Yarrowia lipolytica: one gene and its partner. The protein of the gene in region 2 binds, or shares a complex with, the protein of the main gene of each other region. Links are inferred from orthologs where the notes say so. Each region holds a gene or a part of one and is shown on either strand. Other genes may lie near its edges.

The links.
Region 1: the proteins of YALI1_A00325g (region 2) and YALI1_D09000g are in contact, whole or in part, in a crystal structure (PDB 4A9A), measured with the Saccharomyces cerevisiae proteins. The link is inferred for Yarrowia lipolytica from reciprocal best matches to the Saccharomyces cerevisiae genes RBG1 and TMA46. Residues at the interface, in NP_009364.1 of Saccharomyces cerevisiae: Ser83, Lys84, Leu85, Thr86, Gly87, Thr88, Glu89, Val106, Ile107, Arg108, Tyr109, Lys110, Gly111, Lys113, Leu150, Val152, Pro155, Leu156, Lys159, Leu249, Ile252, Asp253, Ser254, Leu255, Ser256, Ile257, Glu258, Glu259, Leu260, Glu261; in NP_014734.2 of Saccharomyces cerevisiae: Gln217, Pro218, Lys219, Ile220, Thr221, Leu222, Glu223, Phe225, Ile226, Glu227, Glu229, Arg230, Leu233, Lys237, Leu238, Thr239, Pro240, Ile241, Thr242, Ile243, Asn245, Phe246, Trp249, Lys250, His253, Lys257, Lys269, Pro270, Thr271, Gly272.

What each region holds. Positions count from the first base shown.
Region 1 is NC_090773.1:894,658-904,232, forward strand, and holds YALI1_D09000g (uncharacterized protein), read right to left. Parts: upstream 5,398-9,575; coding exon 4,438-5,397; downstream 1-4,437. Other genes in the region: YALI1_D08946g (uncharacterized protein), read left to right, coding at 6-902; YALI1_D08971g (uncharacterized protein), read right to left, coding at 1,302-2,540; YALI1_D08983g (uncharacterized protein), read right to left, coding at 3,512-3,662, 3,714-3,898; YALI1_D09004g (uncharacterized protein), read left to right, coding at 5,771-7,522; YALI1_D09034g (uncharacterized protein), read right to left, coding at 7,798-8,832.
Region 2 is NC_090770.1:26,730-36,455, reverse strand, and holds YALI1_A00325g (uncharacterized protein), read right to left. Parts: upstream 3,858-9,726; coding exon 2,751-3,857; downstream 1-2,750. Other genes in the region: YALI1_A00309g (uncharacterized protein), read left to right, coding at 5,508-8,750. UniProt on the Saccharomyces cerevisiae protein: Involved in ribosomal function.

The DNA of each region.
Region 1 (9,575 bases), on a different chromosome or scaffold from region 2:
AGACTATGTCACTGTTGAGACGACAGCTGAGCCAATTGAGACCCAGCGTTGCCAGAAGACCGAGAACCACTCAATCGCCCAGAAACCCCGCCCAGCACCCGTTTTCCACCTCCGCCACAGCCACAATGAAAGTCCGATCCCTGGAAATGCAGCCTGACGAGACCCAGAACTACTGCTATGTTCTGACCGATGACGCCTCCAAAAAGTCGTGGGTGATCGACCCGGCCTTCCCCAAGTGGGTGCTCGCCGATGTCGAGAAGCTCAACAAGTCCGGAGACATTGATCTCGCCGCTATCGTCAACACCCATCACCACTGGGACCACTCGGGAGGCAACGAGGACTTCAAACAGAGCTTTTCCAAGCTACCCATCATCGCTGGAAAGGATTCTCCCGATGTGACAAAGACCCCCGCCCACGGAGAACAGCTGACTCTCGGCGACAACCTCAAGATCACTGCTCTTCATACTCCCTGCCACACCCAGGACTCCATCTGCTACTTTGTGGAGGACACCAAGACTGGCGAGCGAGCCGTCTTCACTGGCGACACGCTGTTCATTGCTGGCTGCGGTCGGTTCTTTGAGGGAACCCCCGAGGAGATGAATGTTGCTCTTAACGACATTCTGGCCAAGCTCCCCGACGATACCGTTGTCTACCCCGGCCATGAGTACACCAAGTCCAACGTCAAGTTTGTTAAGACGATTCTGCCCAACAACGAGGCCGTCAACAAGCTCGATCACTTTTGCCAGAACAACAAAATCACCACCGGCGTGTTCACCATTGGTGACGAGAAGAAACACAACCCCTTCATGATGGTCAATGACCCTGCTGTCGAGGAGGTTTGTGGATCCACTGATCCTGTCAAGGTCATGGAGGTGCTGAGAGAGCGAAAGAACAAGCTCTAGACAGCGAATGGATCATCAGCAACTAGCTGGTGCAACCGATACGATGAGAACGGAAAACAACATACTTGGTGCGCAACAAAGACCAACAAGTGAGCATCTTCGATTCTGAAAGTCCGATAAGACGAGGGTATATATTTAATTGTATTGATTAGTTTTGAGTATTGTGTGAGTAGTCATAACCAAGATCAAGTTACAGTAAATATACAATACATAGTCTTCTTGTTACTACTTGTAGCAGATATATACAATTATATTCAATGATTATAGGTACAAAATATAAATAGGGGAATGTACAATGGTATGTGCTTGATGTCTCGTTAGACAAATTTTTTTTGGGGTCCGGGTCAGTGGGAATAGTCACGCCGACGAGGGTTGCTTGCAGTCTGCCATATGCCTCTCTTACACCATTAGCAAAAAGAATGGAATGACCAAGGCGGCAGCGGCAGTGGGAAGAGTAGATCCAGCTCCATTGGCGGCGGTGGACGAAGCAGGAGCAGGGTTGTCGAGAACAGTATCGTTATCAATCTTGTCGTGCTTCAGAACAATCTGCCCAAGAACAGTCTTGTTGTCGTTAGACAGAAGGGAGTAATCTGTCACGTTCAAGGATCCCACAGCTTTACCAGAAGCGTCGGAAACCACCATAGTGTTAGGGTTGATGGCGTACATCAGGTTGTTGTTTGTATCAAGGATCACGTCCAGGTTATATACTCCTCCAATGGGTTTCTGGTCCGAGTCGACAAAGGACAGATTAGCAATAGGAGACAGGTCCAGATCAGACTTAATGGTCTTGGTTTCGTTTCCAACCCCGGTCTGTTTCAGGAAGTCGCCCCAAAGCTCTCCGTCGGCAACCACAGAGCTGTTGGAGTACTGGATGAAGGCCTCTCCATCGGGTCCAAAGTCAAACTTGCCCGTGTTCACGTTCAGAGTGTAGTTGAAGCTAATATGCGACAGGTTGAGTTGGATGGTGTAGTCGGTTTCGATCTGCAGGGTATCCATAGTGTTGTTTCGAATGTAAACCATTTCGGCTCCATCTCCAAACTGGGGATTACGAATGTAGAATCGAGTTCGAGGGGAGAGAAGGCCGCTCAGATCTCGCACAATTCCAGCCTGGGGGCCAATGGTAGCTGCGATATCCTTGTAGTCCTTGTTGAGGTCGTCCCAGGTGAATCCGCTGGAGCCAGGGCCGACCTTGGGCTCCACAAACACGCCGCCAATGAACGACTGGTCCGGTGCATAGAACTGGCGGGTGGAGTTGTCCTTGGCCAGTCCTCGTCGGGTTCCGGTCACGTCGAAGAAGCCCGTGTCGTTGGCATGGCCCACAACTCGGCCCGAGTTGGTGATTTCGCCGGTCTTGTCGTCGTAAGAGCCCACAAAGTTGCCGGACTCGTCTCGGAAATGCGACAGCATCACCATTCCCGTGTCGTTGGCTCTAGTTCGCAGCTTGTCGAAGGGGTTCCACTGGCCCACGTACTGTCGGTCGTCCATCGACCACGTCTTGAAGTTGTACGTGTCGATGAGCAGAACCTGCCCGTCCTCAGTGGTGGCTGAGAAGGTCGCGGGGTCGACGATGGCCGCGTTCTGGAACGTGTTGTAGGCGAGCGCCACAGGCAGCAGAGAGAGCATGTTCAGGAGCAGCATGTTGGATGGTTGGTGAGTGTTGGAGTCGTCGGTGAGTGTTGGAAATGGTGTGACGCCGCCCCGTGTATGTCGCTGCCGAACGGTCGATGGTGATGTAGCTCTCTGCTTCAGCTCTGGGTGGATCTGTCGAACGCACGCGCCCCCTCTTGTCTATATATGGATGATGGCCAAAAGTCTGCTGTGCTGCCGAGGGCGCAGGAATAGACTTTTTACTGTTGAGAATGAAAAATGAAAACAATGGTCGATGCAACAACATGCAGGAGAGGACATGTCAGACAACAGATGATGGACAGCCCTGGGACCAAAGAGCCCAAAAGGAGAGACAGTCACGTGATACACCGTCCCGGTGGAACGCCCCTTCTCTCGCAGTCCCCACCAATGCCCCACTTTCCCACCCCTCCTCCTTCCCCTCCTCTTTACTCGTATATCCCTCTTGGCTTCTGTAGATCCAACTATGCGGCTGATAGCCTCATGTGGGACATGCCGCAGGGTTGGTGGGCGGGTCCCAAAGAGTCTATCAGGACGTCAGTACAGTTAGTACGGTGGCTTGTACGAGTGAGCAGTTACTTGTATAGTGATTTGGAGCTTGAACGAGGGCGCTGTGGTGAGTTATTTTCGTCGATAATGGGCCGAGCTCAATGTTTGGCGCCATAGAACGGACTCATTTGGTGACCCTGCTTACTTGCACCCCTGTGCCCCTATCCACCAGACTCCTGCATTCCACTGTTTTTTTTGCTGCTTGGTTTGTCACATTTTTCTCGAGAATTTTCGCAAACTGTCAGAAGACATTACCCCTGAGTGCCTGTATCTACTGTACGAGTACATACGGTACTGTACCTGTACAAGTGCCGCGGGAGACTTGTTGTCAGTGGCCCCTATAACAGCTGACTCCAGGCTAAAAGCGGGCTAAGACTCGACAGAGAGAGACAGAGACATCGACAAATCAGCTCACGTCTTTGGGCCGATCGAACCTAACTAAAAGCTAACAAAGTTGTCAAGTTGGTTTTTACGCCATGTGGGGCAGTGCAGTCAGACGGCGTTGGGCGGGTAGGAGTGGTAACGTGCCAGACAGAGCGTCCATTTGCATACAACCACGTGTGTGAGTACACTGTTACGGTACAACTACGGCATGTACCATATGTCTACTCCGCTAACAGAGTACAAGTACGCTACCTACTGCCCGGTGTAAGTGCAAGTACAAGAACAAGACAAGTAGTACATCGAGTCACGTGATTTGAATGTCTCCGGAAAATCAGCTGTTCCCTGGGGATATCAAACTCACGTGACTTCCTGCTGGGTCCCTCCGACATCAGCCGTGCGATGCATACCGCCGTCTCGGAGTGGTCCACATTTACCATATATATCAGGAATCAATGATTAGTAACGCTGACACTTAGTCATCGCGCTCGAATCTCGTGCCCCGTGAGTCTGCTCTCCTTTGTTATCAAGCCATTCTCGGAATCGAACGAGAGGGAGCGGTACCAGTACAAGTATCTACACAGTCTCCTTGCTTGCAAGCGTAGGCATAAACCGACAGTTGTCATCGATAATTTTCCACAGCAATGGCCACTGGTGGTCAATTGACAATCACGTACAGTCATTTCCAGACCCTGCGTTGGTCGTTAACATGGTTACAAGCTGTCTCTACACGATGTATTCCTATAGAAATAAAAAGTAGCCAAGTAATGAGGCATGCAACCTGCTATAATGCAGGTGTTGAAGCGGTTTCTTTTGTGAAATCCGCTTCGGTTAGTTGGTGTACAGTACTGATGGCTCTCTGTATATGTTGAGCATGTAGTAAGTAACACCCGTTCTCTGGAGGGAGGAGGGTCTGTTCATGCGACCAAGGCCACAACGACAATACCCAATGACCACAAGCACTCGCCGACGCTTGTGCTTACTCCTCATCATCGACAATATCCAAACTGGGCTTGAACTCAGACAAGTCCCAGGCGGTACCGTTAGTTCCATCGTCCTCCTCATCATCGTCATACTTTCCGGTAAGCAGCAGCTGTCGACCAGACATCTGTTTCTGGGTCAGCTTTCGGGCCTCCTCAGCAGCAGCCTCCTCCTTGGCCTTGATTCGGTCAGCCTTCCACTTGTTGAAAGACTCCAGAGTCACAGGAGTAAGGTTCTTGGGCAGTTTGGCACGCTCTGTCTCCAAAAAGTCCTCGAGAGTAATCTTGGGCTGCTTTTCCAGCGCAAGCTTTTCCAGTTTCTTCTGCTCCTTGGTCTTGAACACAAAGCCCGGTGGCAGAGAATGTCTGTACTTGCACTGATCGCCGCCGTTGGGACAGACCCAGAACCAGCCGTACTTGGAGTCCTCGATGGCGTCCAGAAAGAACTTGCAAACAATATCTGTGGTGGTCTTGGGGTTTCCATGCTTGGACAGAATCACCTTTCGCAGCTCCTCCTCGTCCCAGGTGTCCATGCCCTGCTCCTTCTCCTGCTCTCGCGCGTCCGTGTACAGATCCTTCTTCTGTGTCTTTCGGTCAGCCTCCAGGTTGTGCGAAAACTTGCATCGGGTGCCCTTGGTGCACTGGCCCTCCTTGAAGTATGCACACAGCACGGTCTTGGGATCAACTCCAAAGGGAACCTTCTGGGTAATCACCACGGAGCCAAACAGCTTGGCGGCCTCGGCCTTGGCCGCAGCGGCAGCCTTCTTCTCGGCCTCCTTACGCTCTCTCTCAGCCTGCTTCTTCTTGTCGGCTCCAGAGGCTGTAGCTTCAACCTGCTGCACAAATCGCTGAACCTTGGACGACTTGTTCTTGTTCTTGAGACCAAAGGTCTTGTCGCTGGCCCGCTCCTGTCGCTTGGCGGCCTTGTTCTTCTCGTTGAGCTTCTGCTTGGGTGGCATCTTGCTGGGTCGTGTAGTGTAGTGGTGTAGTATGCCTACATGGTTTTTTTTCACTTTAGGCAATTTTCACTCTTGCTTTCAAATGCAGTCCGAGATTTACGCAGGGCGACTTCTCAGTCCGGAGGTGAGGATGTCACGCGAGAATCGAGTGACTTCTGAGAAGCCAGGTAAAAGGGGAAATTTTGGTCCGTGTTAGGGAACCTGATACACCATCAACACGTACTCCTTATCGAACGATCCGCCATTGTCATAATCTATCAACTGGTCACGTGTCGCCTACTCTTTTTGGGGGCAGATAAAGCTTAATTTGAAACTCTAATAAATTATCGAGTGTGCGATTACTAATCAAGAAGAAATATATTTTTTGCAATCCATGACAGAGAGACTCTGTACAATTGCGGCCTTGCTGAACCCGAATGTATATCCCTTTTGCCTGAGCAATTCTTCCGTGATATTTAGTCCAGGCGAGGTTCCCTACGATGTCCTTGCATCCACTGAGCTAAACCCATTAATACAGTACACCCGCAGTGCTGAACCTCCTACTGTGTCTGTTAACATGCTACGAAGTTCCAAACGATACATGACTACCATGTCCAACCGACAACCTGTGGCCTCTCGACGGGCTCTCTACGGCCTGGCCTCCGGGCTCGTGCTCGCCACCGCATACATGGGCCACCAGTATCTTATGGACCCCATTGCTCTGGACAGCAGAGGTATCAACACCAATGCTGCTGGAGGGTACGATCCGTTTGGCCGACGAATGAACATTATGAATCCCGAGCGGGTCAACGCGCGACTGCGGGAGCATGAGCAGAGTCATTTCGTGGAGCGAGGACGCGGGGTACTGAGATACGATATGGCGCAGTTGCCGTCCAATTCGCCCATTGAGGACGACTACTCCGACCGGGTGGTGTCTGTGGCTCTGAATGAAGCTGGAAACGCCAACGCTTCGTCCGACTGGATGTTCTGGGGCCTGTATGACGGCCATGGAGGCTGGACCACCTCTGCCAAGCTCAGAGAAGAGCTCATCAACTATGTGATTCGACAGCTTGATGCGGGCTACAGCGATGCTGGCAAGACGCTTGGCGATAACATACGACGAACTCCCAGCCCTGAAACCATCGATCTGGCTATCAAGAGAGGCTTCCTGGCTCTGGATGACGAGATCTGCATCCACTCCATTAACAGACTGCTCAAGAACCCCCAAAAGGGCCAGTCTCCCGAGACGCTGGCTCCCGCCGTTTCTGGATCCTGTGGTCTGCTGGCATTCTATGATACCCTGTCTCACACTCTTCGAGTTGCTGTCACCGGCGATTCTCGTGCTGTTCTCGGCTCCAAGTCTTCTTCTGGATGGACTGCACGTGCCCTGTCTGTCGACCAGACTGGCTCCAACCAGCGAGAAGCTGACCGAATCCGAAAAGAGCATCCTGGCGAAGAGGACCGTGTGATTCGACGGGGCCGAGTTCTGGGCGGTCTGGAACCCACCCGAGCGTTTGGAGACGCCCGATACAAGTGGACACGTGACTTGCAAGATAAGGTGGCACGTGCCTTTTTCGGCCGAAGCACGCCTCCGGAGCTGAGGTCGCCTCCCTACGTCACAGCTGAGCCTGAGGTGACTACCACCAAGGTCAAGAGTGGTGACTTTCTGGTGATGGGCTCCGATGGGTTGTTCGAGATGCTCTCCAACGACGAGGTGGTGTCTCTGGTCGTGCAGTGGATGGAGACTCACCCCATCACCGAGTCTTCCACCGCCGCTTCGGCCAAGTCTGGAGGAATGTGGGACAAGATGTTTGGCAGCAAGGACTCGACAAAGGTGGTTGATCTGACAGTCGACCAGGACGCCATGAAGCCTCCTTTCCGACACCAGGGTGCCGTTCTCAAGCCCACTGTTGAGGATGAGAACGTGGCAACTCACCTGATTCGAAACGCTCTTGGAGGAGCCGATCGGGAACAGCTGTCCATGCTTCTGAGCATCCCTGCTCCTCAGTCACGGCGATACCGAGACGACCTGACCGTGACGGTGGTTTTCTTTGGCGATGAGAAGGCTCCTGAGAACGGCGGTATCAGAGGCAATGTTGCTGCTACCAGTGGAGGTGTGGGCACTCAAGAAAAGGCAAAGTTGTAAGAGCAGATGACGAAACCGCAGGCTGAGCGTCTGCAAGAGGCAGTCAGACACTTGCTTTTCGTGCGACGAGTACATACATCTCTAGTAATATATGTTGGGTTACGTTATGTGTATGGTATGTACTGGTACGAGTACAGTATTGTACTTGTGTAGTCCGCGTTCTATCATCTCTAAGTTGAATGATTCTATAAGTTATCCATTCATCTATATCTATTGGTGGTTATGGGGTCAGTCAAATCACTGGAAGGACTCTTCGGGCTTCGCTCTCGAACGTTTTAGTTCTGGAACGACAGCCATTGGTTAGCAAAGTCAGCCACAGACTTGTCAAGGGGAATCCAGTCGTAGTTGAGAGCCTTTCGTGTCTGGTCGTTATCAAACTGAAAGCCCTCCTTGTCAGTTTCAGCTCCGGTTCCAGGCTTTCCGGTAGCAATCTTTCCCTTGAGCTCAGGCACCTTCTCGTTGATCACGTCAAGGAGATCCTGGTTACAGAACTTGGACACGCACAGCATGAGACGCTGGTTGTCTAGGGTCTTGGAGATGGCAGACAGGTGGGCCTTGGCCACGTCTCGCACGTCAACCCACATCTGGGCAGGGCCAGCAGGAGCATCCTGACCAGGCTTGGTAGAGAGAGCTCCCTGGACAATGACCTCGTTGGAGGTGTTGAGAGCCTTGGCATCAATAGCAATACCAGGACCAAAGACGTAGGCAGGGTTGACAGTGGTGAGGCCAAAGGAGGGCTTCTCAGACTCCATGAAATCCCAAGCGGCCTTCTCGGCGAACTTCTTGGAGCCCAGGTAGGTTACGACAACATTGCCCTTCTGGGCAGCCTCGTCCCAAGTGACGGGGTTCCAGGACTTCTCGGTGACGACGGCGGAGGAGTCGCCAACCTCGTGCCAGTTCATCATGGCGGCGAAAGACGAAGTGATGACGAACTTCTCAACCTGGGGAGCGTACTGCTTGGCGGTCTTGAGGACGGTCAGAGTACCCTCAACCGCAGGCTCAAGCATATCCTTGACGGGGTCCTCGACGTTGAAATGGAAGGGAGAGGCGGTGTGGAGCACATACTTGATGTCAGTGTGCTTCTGGAACAGAGTCTTGAACTCCTGCTCGGATCGGACATCGGAAACAGTCTCAAACACCAGCTGGCCGGTCTTGATGGCCTCGGGGAAAGCAGCGGCCAATCGCTGGCCCTTCTCCTGCGATCGAATCGTTCCAATGACCTTGTGGTCGGCCTTCAGAAGCTGCTCGATGCAATGGCCGGCAATGAAGCCAGTGGCTCCAGTGATGAGAGTGGTGGGTGTAGTAGACATGTTGTGTTTGTGTGTTGGATGTGTGGGTTATGGGATGTCAGGAGGTATCTTCCGGCAGCAGTGCACTGTTATATATCCTCCACTATGTACTTGATCTCCGTCAACTTTCATCTACATTGCATTTCTTATGTCCGTCAGTTTGTCATGTCATGGAACAATTATGAAGGTTCGCTCCAATTCAGTTCATACTATTGTAGCAGATTTAGACAGTGATAGAAAAAGATGGCAGCAATAAAAACGGGCTGTAATGGGTCAATTTTGTCGCGGAAAAGGTCGAATCGAGTAAACAAGACTCGAAAAATCGATTGTAAACCTCCCCATCTCAATACCTCCGCCTCTTCACCCAAAACTTGCTACCTTCCCTCGCATTCGGCATGTCCTCTAAAAGCCTATTCTGATCAACAACCTGCTTTGCGTTTGCTTCCTTCGGCAAGGTGTAACGGCTCTTCTCGAACCGTACGCCTTACAAGCAAGGTTGGGCGGACAAAAATAAGGTGCTGATAAATGGACGGACATACCAAGGTTGCGTAGCGGAGGCGCGCACTTGGTGTTAACGATATGTCCGACAACTGACGAAATTACCCGTGAAAGGAGAAGAAAATGTATGCCATTAAATGCAGAATTCCCCAGCGACTCTAATGGTATAATTATATCCCGTTTCTGTATCGCAGAAAGCCTCAATATGTGCACCAATATGTGCACCTTCCAATGGACCCACTAACAAAAATAGATGTGCAAGAAGG
Region 2 (9,726 bases):
AAGCTGCCGCACCACTCGGATGTATTTCTATGTATTTTTATGAGCACATATCGTAGTCTGAGGCTGTAGAAGTAATTGAGACATTCTCGGGAACGTCATTCTCAGAACCATCAACTCTTGATCTCCAACCCGTCCAACCCGTCCAACCCGTCCAACCCGTCCATCTTTCACGTTCATTTGGCTGAACACATTACTGTTCCCCAAGAGCTGAACAGCTGCCAATCTCCAGTGGTTGTCGCTGTAATATATGTCTAGTCATGGGCCACAGATCCTTTTGTGTCACCTGTCTCATTTCTGGTTTGTTGTCCCTTTTGGAGTCTGGTTAGTCGGCCTCGCTCAGTTACTTGACTTTAGTTGACGAAAGAGAAAATTTTGGGAAAAAAATTGGAAAAAAATTGAAAAAAAAATTATGAAAAAATTGATGGAAAAATTGGAAAAATTGGAAAAATTATAGGGAAAAAATTGGCAAAAAAACCTGGTAGAAAATCGGAACATTGCAGTGAATCCCATGACATATTGACCTTTGATTCAAATTGATTCTTAGATTCTAATGCACACTCACGGTCCCCTAAATATTGTTGAAGGTAATACCCGGTGGCGGGTAATACCTGGCTAATTCCCTCACATAATGATGAGATTGTCACCCATAATGAGTGATGAGAGGAATCAGCTTGGTCTCGTAGACGAGATTGTCCATCCTGTAGATAGTTTTATTCCACTGATCTTAGAATCTCTTTTTCTGGTGAAATGAGCAAGCAACACACCCTTCTGGTGTTTGTGCTACTATCGGAACGCCGTGTCCCTAGAAGTGGGTTGTAAGTTGTTAATTAACTATATCACACCAATAATACTTATGATCTTCAATAAATATCTTCATCACCAGTAAAATAAATGTATACAAGTACATACGGGACAACCACTCACGTCAAACAATGAAGGAGACAGCTGCAATAACATTATATCGTTGTAACTGCTAGATCAAGGGCTGTTAAATGGTACAACTTTTGTATCCCTGCGATCATTATCCGCTGACTAATTGTCTGTGCTGGGGAGTTTTCTCCATTGAGTGGAGATTTAGGCTACAGTAGGTAGAGATGGGAGGTGAAAAAGGGGAGGTGAAAAAGGGGAGGTGGAAAAGGGGAGGTGGAAAAGGGGAGGTGGAGAAGGGGAGGAAGTGGTCACGTGATGAATATGATGGGCAGTTTCGATTTAATTAATAAGAAATTACTGATGTGAGACGTGCGTGTTCAGTCAACTAGTATGTCAACTAAAACCGAGCCAGGTAAATGAGTGAGCTGTGTAATTTTGATGTTGTGTGTATGTCTCCGAGTTCTCCTTCCCCCACTAAGTAAATAGAGTGACCTTAGATACTGTATACTTGACATTTTAGTTACGGGTGCACTTGTACAAGTCTTCTCACATCTCCACAACTCACACAACTTGATACCACATACATCCTGACACAAATATCCCCAATTCGTCGCAAAAAACACAAACACGTTCTTATTGGCTCTGACTCGATGGCTCTGGCAACATGGCGACTCAATGGCTCTCGCTCAATGGCTCTGACAACATGGCTCTGACTCAACGACCCTGGCTCTCGTAGTTCACAGTTTTATCTTGGCGCTGTCGTGTTGTGTTATCGGCATCGTCGGCTGGCGGCTGTAGTTCTGGCATGTTGCTGCTCGGACTGGCTCTTGCTCTCGCGGTTTGGCGAGTTGGGCACAAACGCTTTGCTCAAGGACGGTCTTCGCAGACGTTCATGCTCAGACGAAACAAGCTGGATCTGGATCAGGTTTGGATCGTGTGTCACCTGTTCTCTTGACCGAGAGTCCTGGTGTGCTGATACCAAGTCAACAGCAGATGGAGCGAGCAGACATATGATTATTCAACCGACAGTCCATCCCTCCAAAGCATTCAGTTGTCATCTCGGTGGATGACTCAGCAGCCCCGCCGCCCTTCTCACTAATCAAAGCGACAATTCCTCGTCCGAGATATGACCCAAACTCACTCAACATGGTTCTGGTGTTCCCTCTGGACATATTGCTGGTCTTTCTGCACCTTGGGTCCTCGACAATGGCCGGAAACGCCCCTTTGGCTGGAAACGTCCCTTTGGCTGCCTGATGACTCCTTTATCAGAGTGTATGCTTGTCCCTCATCCAACCACGTCTCGCCTGGATGAGGGGCCTGAGCTCCCGAGTGATAAAGGTGTCTCGCAAGTGTGGACTTGGTTGAAATGAGACAACGCTTTCCTTCAATGCTTTTGGTACTGTACGCACATGTTGGAGACGTTTGAATCGTCGTCATTTCAACACATTGACAGTGGAGTCTGTGTACCAACGATGACTGTCTACTGGTGGTCGTCATGACTGATTCATCACAGAACCAATGCACCAGAGATGTGTTGTAGCTAGAATTTTGCCACTACTACCTACATTCACCCTTCTCTCTACAGTACTGTATGTATATCCTATCATGATATATTCACTACTCTGGTGAGCGTTAGCTGTGTGTCCATCAGGACACCGCTGAGACCGGGTATGGAGGGTTGTCAGTGTCCGGAGCTCTGTCCTGATGTCTGGAGCTCTGACCCGGTCTCTTCCGGTCCATCCCAGTCTGTTTCGGTCCATCCCGGTCTCTTTGAGATCTATCCCAATCTCTTTTTTGGTCTGTCCGGTCGGATCCTTCTCATCTTCATCTTCACCTCCTCTTTTCTTGTGCTGACTGCTCAGTGTTTGCCAGGATCCAGACTATCTCTTCAGAATAGTGACAACATCCTCGTCCATCAACTCATGGGCCAAACCAACATACTGGGGCTGGTGCTTGACCGACTGACCGTAGACACATGCCGTCTTAAACTCCTCAACCAGACTCTTGTGGATCTGGTTACAGAAATGCTGGACGGTCGACCGACCATTCCGCAGAATGATGGGCTGCTCGTAGTCGGGCTGCTGGCCCTTGGGCTTGGTGTAGACCCGAACGAGGTTGAGTTTCTTCCACATTTCCTCCAGCAGCTCGTCCAGGTTCCAGCCATGCTCCGACGAAATGGGCACCGCGTTAGGGATTCGGTAAAGCAGATCCAACTCCTCAATGGAAATGCTGTCAATCTTGTTGAGACAATAAATGACCGAAATGTAGCGTCGGTTCTGCGCCTCGAGAATGTCAATGAGCTCGTCGACAGTGGCATCGCATCGGAAATGGATGTCAGCAGAATTGATTCGATACTCGCCCATCACCGCCCGAATCTCGTCATTGTCCAAATGGGTCAGAGGAACCGTGTTGGTGATGTTGATTCCACCCCGCTCCTTCTTCTTGAACAAAATGTTAGGAGGCTCCTTATTGATTCGAATACCAAATCCCTCCAGCTCCCGCTCAATGATCTTTTTGTGCTCCAGCGGCTTGTTCACATCCAGCACCACAAAAATCAGGTTGCACGTTCGAGCCACCGCAATCACCTGTCGACCTCGACCCTTACCATCCTTGGCTCCCTCGATAATTCCAGGAAGATCCAGCATCTGGATCTTGGCACCACGATACATAATCACTCCGGGAACAGTGGTCAGCGTGGTGAACTCATACGCCGCTGCCTCTGAATGAGTACCAGTCAACTTGGACAGTAAAGTCGACTTTCCAACCGAAGGAAACCCGATAAATCCAACCGAAGCAACACCAGTTCGAGCCACATCGAACCCAGCGCCTCCGCCACCACCTCCAGAGGAAGTGGGAGTCAACAGCTCTCGCTTCAACTTGGCCAACTTGGCCTTCAGCTGACCCAGATGGAACGAAGTCGCCTTGTTCTTCTGGGTCCGAGCCATCTCCTCCTCGATGTTTTTGATCTTTTCCACCGTTGTCGACATTTTGTTTTTTTTTGTGCAGTTGTAAAGGAGTGAATGGTTGAGTGCAAATCAATCGCTTATCTTTGAGGTTTGCTCTGTATCCATAAAGTGAAAATTTGAGATCACGTGAGTTACCCGGCGTGGCTAGTAATAAATTACAGTTTACTCGGTTTAGGGTTGTTGGGTTTAGGGCAGGGTTAGGTGGTTTGGGGGGTTGGGGTTTCCACTTCAAGACTGAATGTCGTTGAAGAATGGGCACGGGCACAATCAAACACATGTCATTATGGGAAAAAAGAATCTCAACCTCCCATATATAGCTTTCTGTATTATGTGAATATAATAAAATCGTTGGGTTGCTACGTTTCGGGTATCTTTCTACTGTAGGGCTGGGGTTAAAAGTTGAAGTATCTGTATTAGGGTTTGGTACTATGAATATCTCTAAATCACGTGTGTAGGTTGATGTGATTTGTAGAAAATGTATCGCAAAAACAAAAAGGTCATCTGGTTTTTATGTCTCCCGGCTTTACTTTGTAGACCCTTTTAATTCTTCTTTTATTCCTTCTTTTTATTTCTGTTTTTTCCCCCTTTTTAAAATAAATATATTAGAGCACATATCGACCTGATTTTGAGTGTATAATTAAATGACAAAGGTTGGCTAGATTTGGACATGGAAAAAGGGGGATCCGCAAAATAGAACCAGAGGTGCTATACTTGTACAAGTACTTGACGGACAGATTGTCAGGTGATAATTATTACCCGTCATAATCTGTATATCATTTTACACTGCTTGCTATTCATAACCTAAGGAGATGAGTTTGCCGTAATCTGAACATTAAGAGGTTTAGAATGGCATATTTTACAGGGAATTGGGGACAGACTGGAGACGGACATGGTGGCCATTTCTGCGACACTGGTTAGTTGGTGTTGAGGTACTGTAGTCCCAAAATTTAGTCATAACCTCTGCGACACACTCTTAATCTCTGATCTCCTCCGGGGCTGATTTCGTCGGGTGCAGACCAGGTCAGGGGAACGGGGAAGCCCTGCGATGTCGGATGAGTCATTTTTTCGGAGACGAATGTCGAGTCACGTGACCAGGCGAAGAGTCAACTGGAATTTCGATTGAGTCACATTCAGTCATGGAATTAAACGGGAAAAATAAAGATGGGATATACCGAAAATTGGAAAAAAAAAAAACAAAAAAAACCACCACAACGAATATCAGTATTTCGGGCTTTTTTATTTTTTATTATTTTAATTTATCTTCGACTACTGCAGTTATTGCGTGTTTATATAATGAGTGATAAATAAATGATGAAGAAATCCACTCGAAAAACATGATTTTCCCCGGCAGAAATTCGGGGGAAAAAAAGATTAAAAAAAAAGTCTGGAAAAACACCGGATGAAAAATTTGTGAAAAAATCGATGAAAAAAGTGAAGAAAAAAGCCAAGGAAAAATGTTGGAAATTCTGGGATAAAAAGGGGGCAAAAATTGTGATTTCCCTCCCGGTAATAATATGTCAGAGTTTTGTTTTGTTTTCATTTTCTTCATTTTCTTGTCTCCAATTCACGTGACAGTGAGTCACCTACCATAAACCAACGAGCCCTAACCTGTGAAATTTTGCATTAAATCTACCCTAGCAACACCCACTCGGATTCACCGACACAAACACAATGAATTTCTCCAAGGAGGAAGAAGCGGTGCTCAAGTTCTGGGAGGAGATTGATGCCTTCCAGACGTCACTCAAGCTCAATGCTGACAAGCCCCATTTCACCTTCTACGATGGGCCTCCGTTTGCCACTGGCACTCCGCACTATGGCCACATTTTGGCGTCGACCATCAAGGACATTGTGCCACGATATGCCCATATGACTGGGCATCATGTGGAGCGACGGTTTGGCTGGGACACGCATGGGCTTCCTGTGGAACACGAGATTGACAAGAAGCTGGATATCAAGGGCAAGGAAGACGTGATGAAGTTTGGTCTGGCCAACTACAACGAGGAGTGTCGAGCCATTGTGATGCGATATGCTGGGGAGTGGCGCAAGACGATTGGTCGGCTGGGTCGATGGATCGACTTTGACAACGACTACAAGACGCTGCAGACGTCGTTCATGGAGTCGGTTTGGTGGGTGTTTCAGGAGCTGTACAAGAAGGACGCTGTCTACCGGGGCCATCGAGTCATGCCCTACTCCACCGCTCTGTGCACGCCCATTGCCAACTTTGAGGCTGCTCAGAACTACAAGGAGGTGCTGGATCCCGCGGTGGTCGTCGCCTTCCCTCTGGTGGATGAGCCCGAGGTCAAGTTGCTGGCCTGGACCACCACTCCCTGGACTCTTCCTTCGAACCTGGCTCTTGCCGTGAACCCCAACTTTGACTACATCAAGATCAAGGACGGCAAGACCGGCGACGTGTACATTTTGCTGGAGTCGTTGCTGTCCACTCTGTACAAGAACCCCAAGAAGGCCGACTTTTCCGTGTTGGAAAAGGGCATTAAGGGCTCTTCTCTCAAGGGCAAGCGATACCAGCCTCTATTCCCCTACTTTGCCGCGGACTTTGAAGACTCGGAGGACGCCCGAAAGCTCAAGTTGACCCCGGGCTTCCAGGTCATTTGTGCCGATTACGTCACCGACTCCTCCGGTACCGGAATCGTCCACCAGTCTCCCGCGTTCGGAGAGGACGATTATCTGGCCGCTACCGACGCAGGCATCATTTCCGACAAGCGGTACCCCCCCAATCCCGTCGACGACGCCGGCAAATTCACCCCCGCGGTCTCCGACTGGGAGGGAGTCTATGTCAAGGACGCCGACCGGTCCATCATCAAGAAAATCAAGGAGATGGGCCGACTGGTGGTCGACGGCCAGGTGCGTCATTCGTACCCCTTCTGCTGGCGATCGGACACTCCTCTGCTCTACCGAACCGTGCCTTCGTGGTTCGTGCGAATCAAGGAGATGATCCCTCAGATGCTGGAAAACATCGACAAGACCAACTGGGTGCCCTCCAACATCAAGGATGGCCGATTTGGCAACTGGATCAAAAACGCCCGAGACTGGAACATTTCCCGAAACCGATACTGGGGTACCCCCATCCCCCTGTGGGTCTCCGACGATTACGAGGAGGTGGTTTGCGTGGGATCCGTGGCCGAGCTCGAGGAGCTGTCTGGAGTCAAGAACATCGACGACATCCACCGGCACCACATTGACGACATCACCATCCCCTCCAAGATGGGCAAGGGCGTGCTTCGACGAGTGGAGGAGGTCTTTGACTGCTGGTTCGAGTCCGGCTCCATGCCCTACGCCTCCAGACACTACCCCTTTGACCCCGAGTCCAAGGAGGTGATGGAGAAGGGCTTCCCCGCCGACTTCATTTCCGAGGGAATCGACCAGACCCGAGGCTGGTTCTACACTCTCACGGTGCTCGGAAACTACTTGTTTGGCGTGTCGCCGTTCAAGAACGTGATTGTCTCCGGCCTGGTTCTTGCTGCCGACGGCAAAAAGATGTCAAAGCGACTCAAAAACTACCCTGACCCTACCGAGGTGCTCGACAAGTTTGGAGCCGACGCTCTGCGGCTGTATCTCATCAACTCGCCGGTTCTGCGAGCCGACACCCTCAAGTTCCAGGAGGAGGGCGTTCGAGAGGTGGTGTCCAAGGTTCTGCTGCCGTGGTGGAACTCGTACAAGTTCTGGGAGGGCCAGGTGTCTCTGGTCAATAAGCTGTACGGTACCGAGTTCAAGTACAACCCTGCGCTCAAATCCGACAATGTCATGGACCGGTGGATTCTTGCGTCTCTGCAGTCGCTGGTGGGCCACATTCACGCCATGATGAAGGAGTACAAGCTGTACGCCGTGGTTCCTCGACTGCTCCACCTCATTGACGATCTCACCAACTGGTACATTCGTCTGAACCGATCCCGTCTCAAGGGAGACAACGGAGAGGAGGACGCCGTCAAGGCTCTCAACACTCTGTTTGAGGCCGAGTACACCCTGGTTCGAGCCATGGCTCCCTTCACCCCCTTCCTGTCTGAGACCATCTACCAGAAGATCAAGCCTTACATTGAGTTTGATTCTTCCGTGGCGGATTCTCGATCGGTCCACTTCCTGCCCTACCCCCAGGTTCGAGAGGAGCTGTTTGACGAGGACATTGAGCTTGCTGTGAAGCGGGTCCAGTCCATCATTGAACAGGGCCGAGTCATTCGAGACAAGAAGAACGTGCCTCTCAAGACCCCTCTCAAGTCGCTGGTCATCATCCACACTGACCCTGCCTACCTCAAACACGTGCGAGACCTCGAAAAGTACATTGTCGAGGAGCTCAACGTGCGACAGGTGGTCATCACCGACGACGAGGCTGCCCACAAGGTGGTGTACAAGGCCCAGGCTGACTGGCCCGTTCTCGGCAAGAAGCTCAAGAAGGACATTGCCCGAGTTAAGAAGGGTCTTCCCCAGCTGTCTTCCGAGGAGGTTTTCAACTACCTCAAGACCAACAAGTGCACTGTCGACGGCATTGAGCTGGTGGAGGGCGATCTGACCATTTCGCGAACCATTGACGACTGTGGTGCCGGGTTCGAGGTCTCCTCCGACCAGGACGTGCTCTGTCTGCTCGACACCAACGTCTACGACGAGTACAAGGGCGAGGCCACTGTTCGAGAGGTGCTCAACCGAGTCCAGAAACTGCGAAAGACCCTGGGACTCGAGGTCACCGACGATGTCCACATTGAGTACACTGTTGTGAAGGACTCTGCTGATCTCAATCTGGAAAAGGCCATTGAGAACAACTCGGATCTGCTCACCAAGACTCTTCGACGACCTCTCCGAAAGGAGGGCGAGCACGAGGCCCACAAGGGCGAGTACATTGGCGAGGAGAAGCAGGAGATTAAGGACGCCGAGCTGCTGCTCAAGCTATTCAAGCTCAAGATCTAGATCAAGCGTCTATTGATGTAAATGAATTGATTGTGAAAGTAAAAGTGTGAGTTCAAGTAGATCGGAGGTAGTGAAGTGGTATCAGGATTCCAAACAGCAAGATGCGATATACAGCAAATAAAACGAGACAGCCAAATTCCAAACCAATCATGTTTTTTTTTCCTTTCCTTTTTTTAATTTTTTCTTTCCTTCAATTTTTTCTTTCCCCTCTTTGAGCCTCACCGAAACAACGGGACGATAAAACAACAACAACAAGAAAAACAGATAAAACCAACTCCACCGTATTCGCCATAGCCGAAATATATATATGCTATCTTCTCCGATGAAATTAATCCAGCGGTTCAGTCTCAAATGGCCGGTAATAATTGGTTTTGTATTAATTTTTTTTTTTTATTCTAATGATTCATTATTTTTGAACTTTTTTTATTTTTATTCTAATAAACTCACGTGATCCTCTTTACCGGATTATAATAGATTTTTTCATTTTTCAGACTCAACTTTTTCTGAGACCGGTGGCGTAATGGTAGCGCATTGGATTTCGGTTCTTCTGAACGACGTCCTCCAAAGGCTGCGGGTTCGAGTCCTGTCGTCCTCTCTTTTTGCCCTCAAAATAGCCCCAAAAAACCCTCTCCGATTATATTTTGCCTCTCTGAGTAACTTGTCTGAGTAACTTGTCTGAGTAACTCGTGATTTTTCCCTCCATTTATGTTCAACGATTGTGGCTTTCTTTTTGGTCGTGTGAGCAAAATCCTACACAAGTATGGGCCACCACAACTGCGCGAGAAGCCGCTATTTGTGGAAAATAAAAGACATTTTTGTACTGAAACACGACCTCGGGGTTCCAATGATATAAATATTTCCCGCTTCTGACCACTGCTGCGACAGTTCAAGGGGTAGTCATGTCCATGTATTAGAGGACCTGAATAGTAGGGGTCAAAAAAGTGATTATCAAGAATAAATAAATAAACAATTGTTA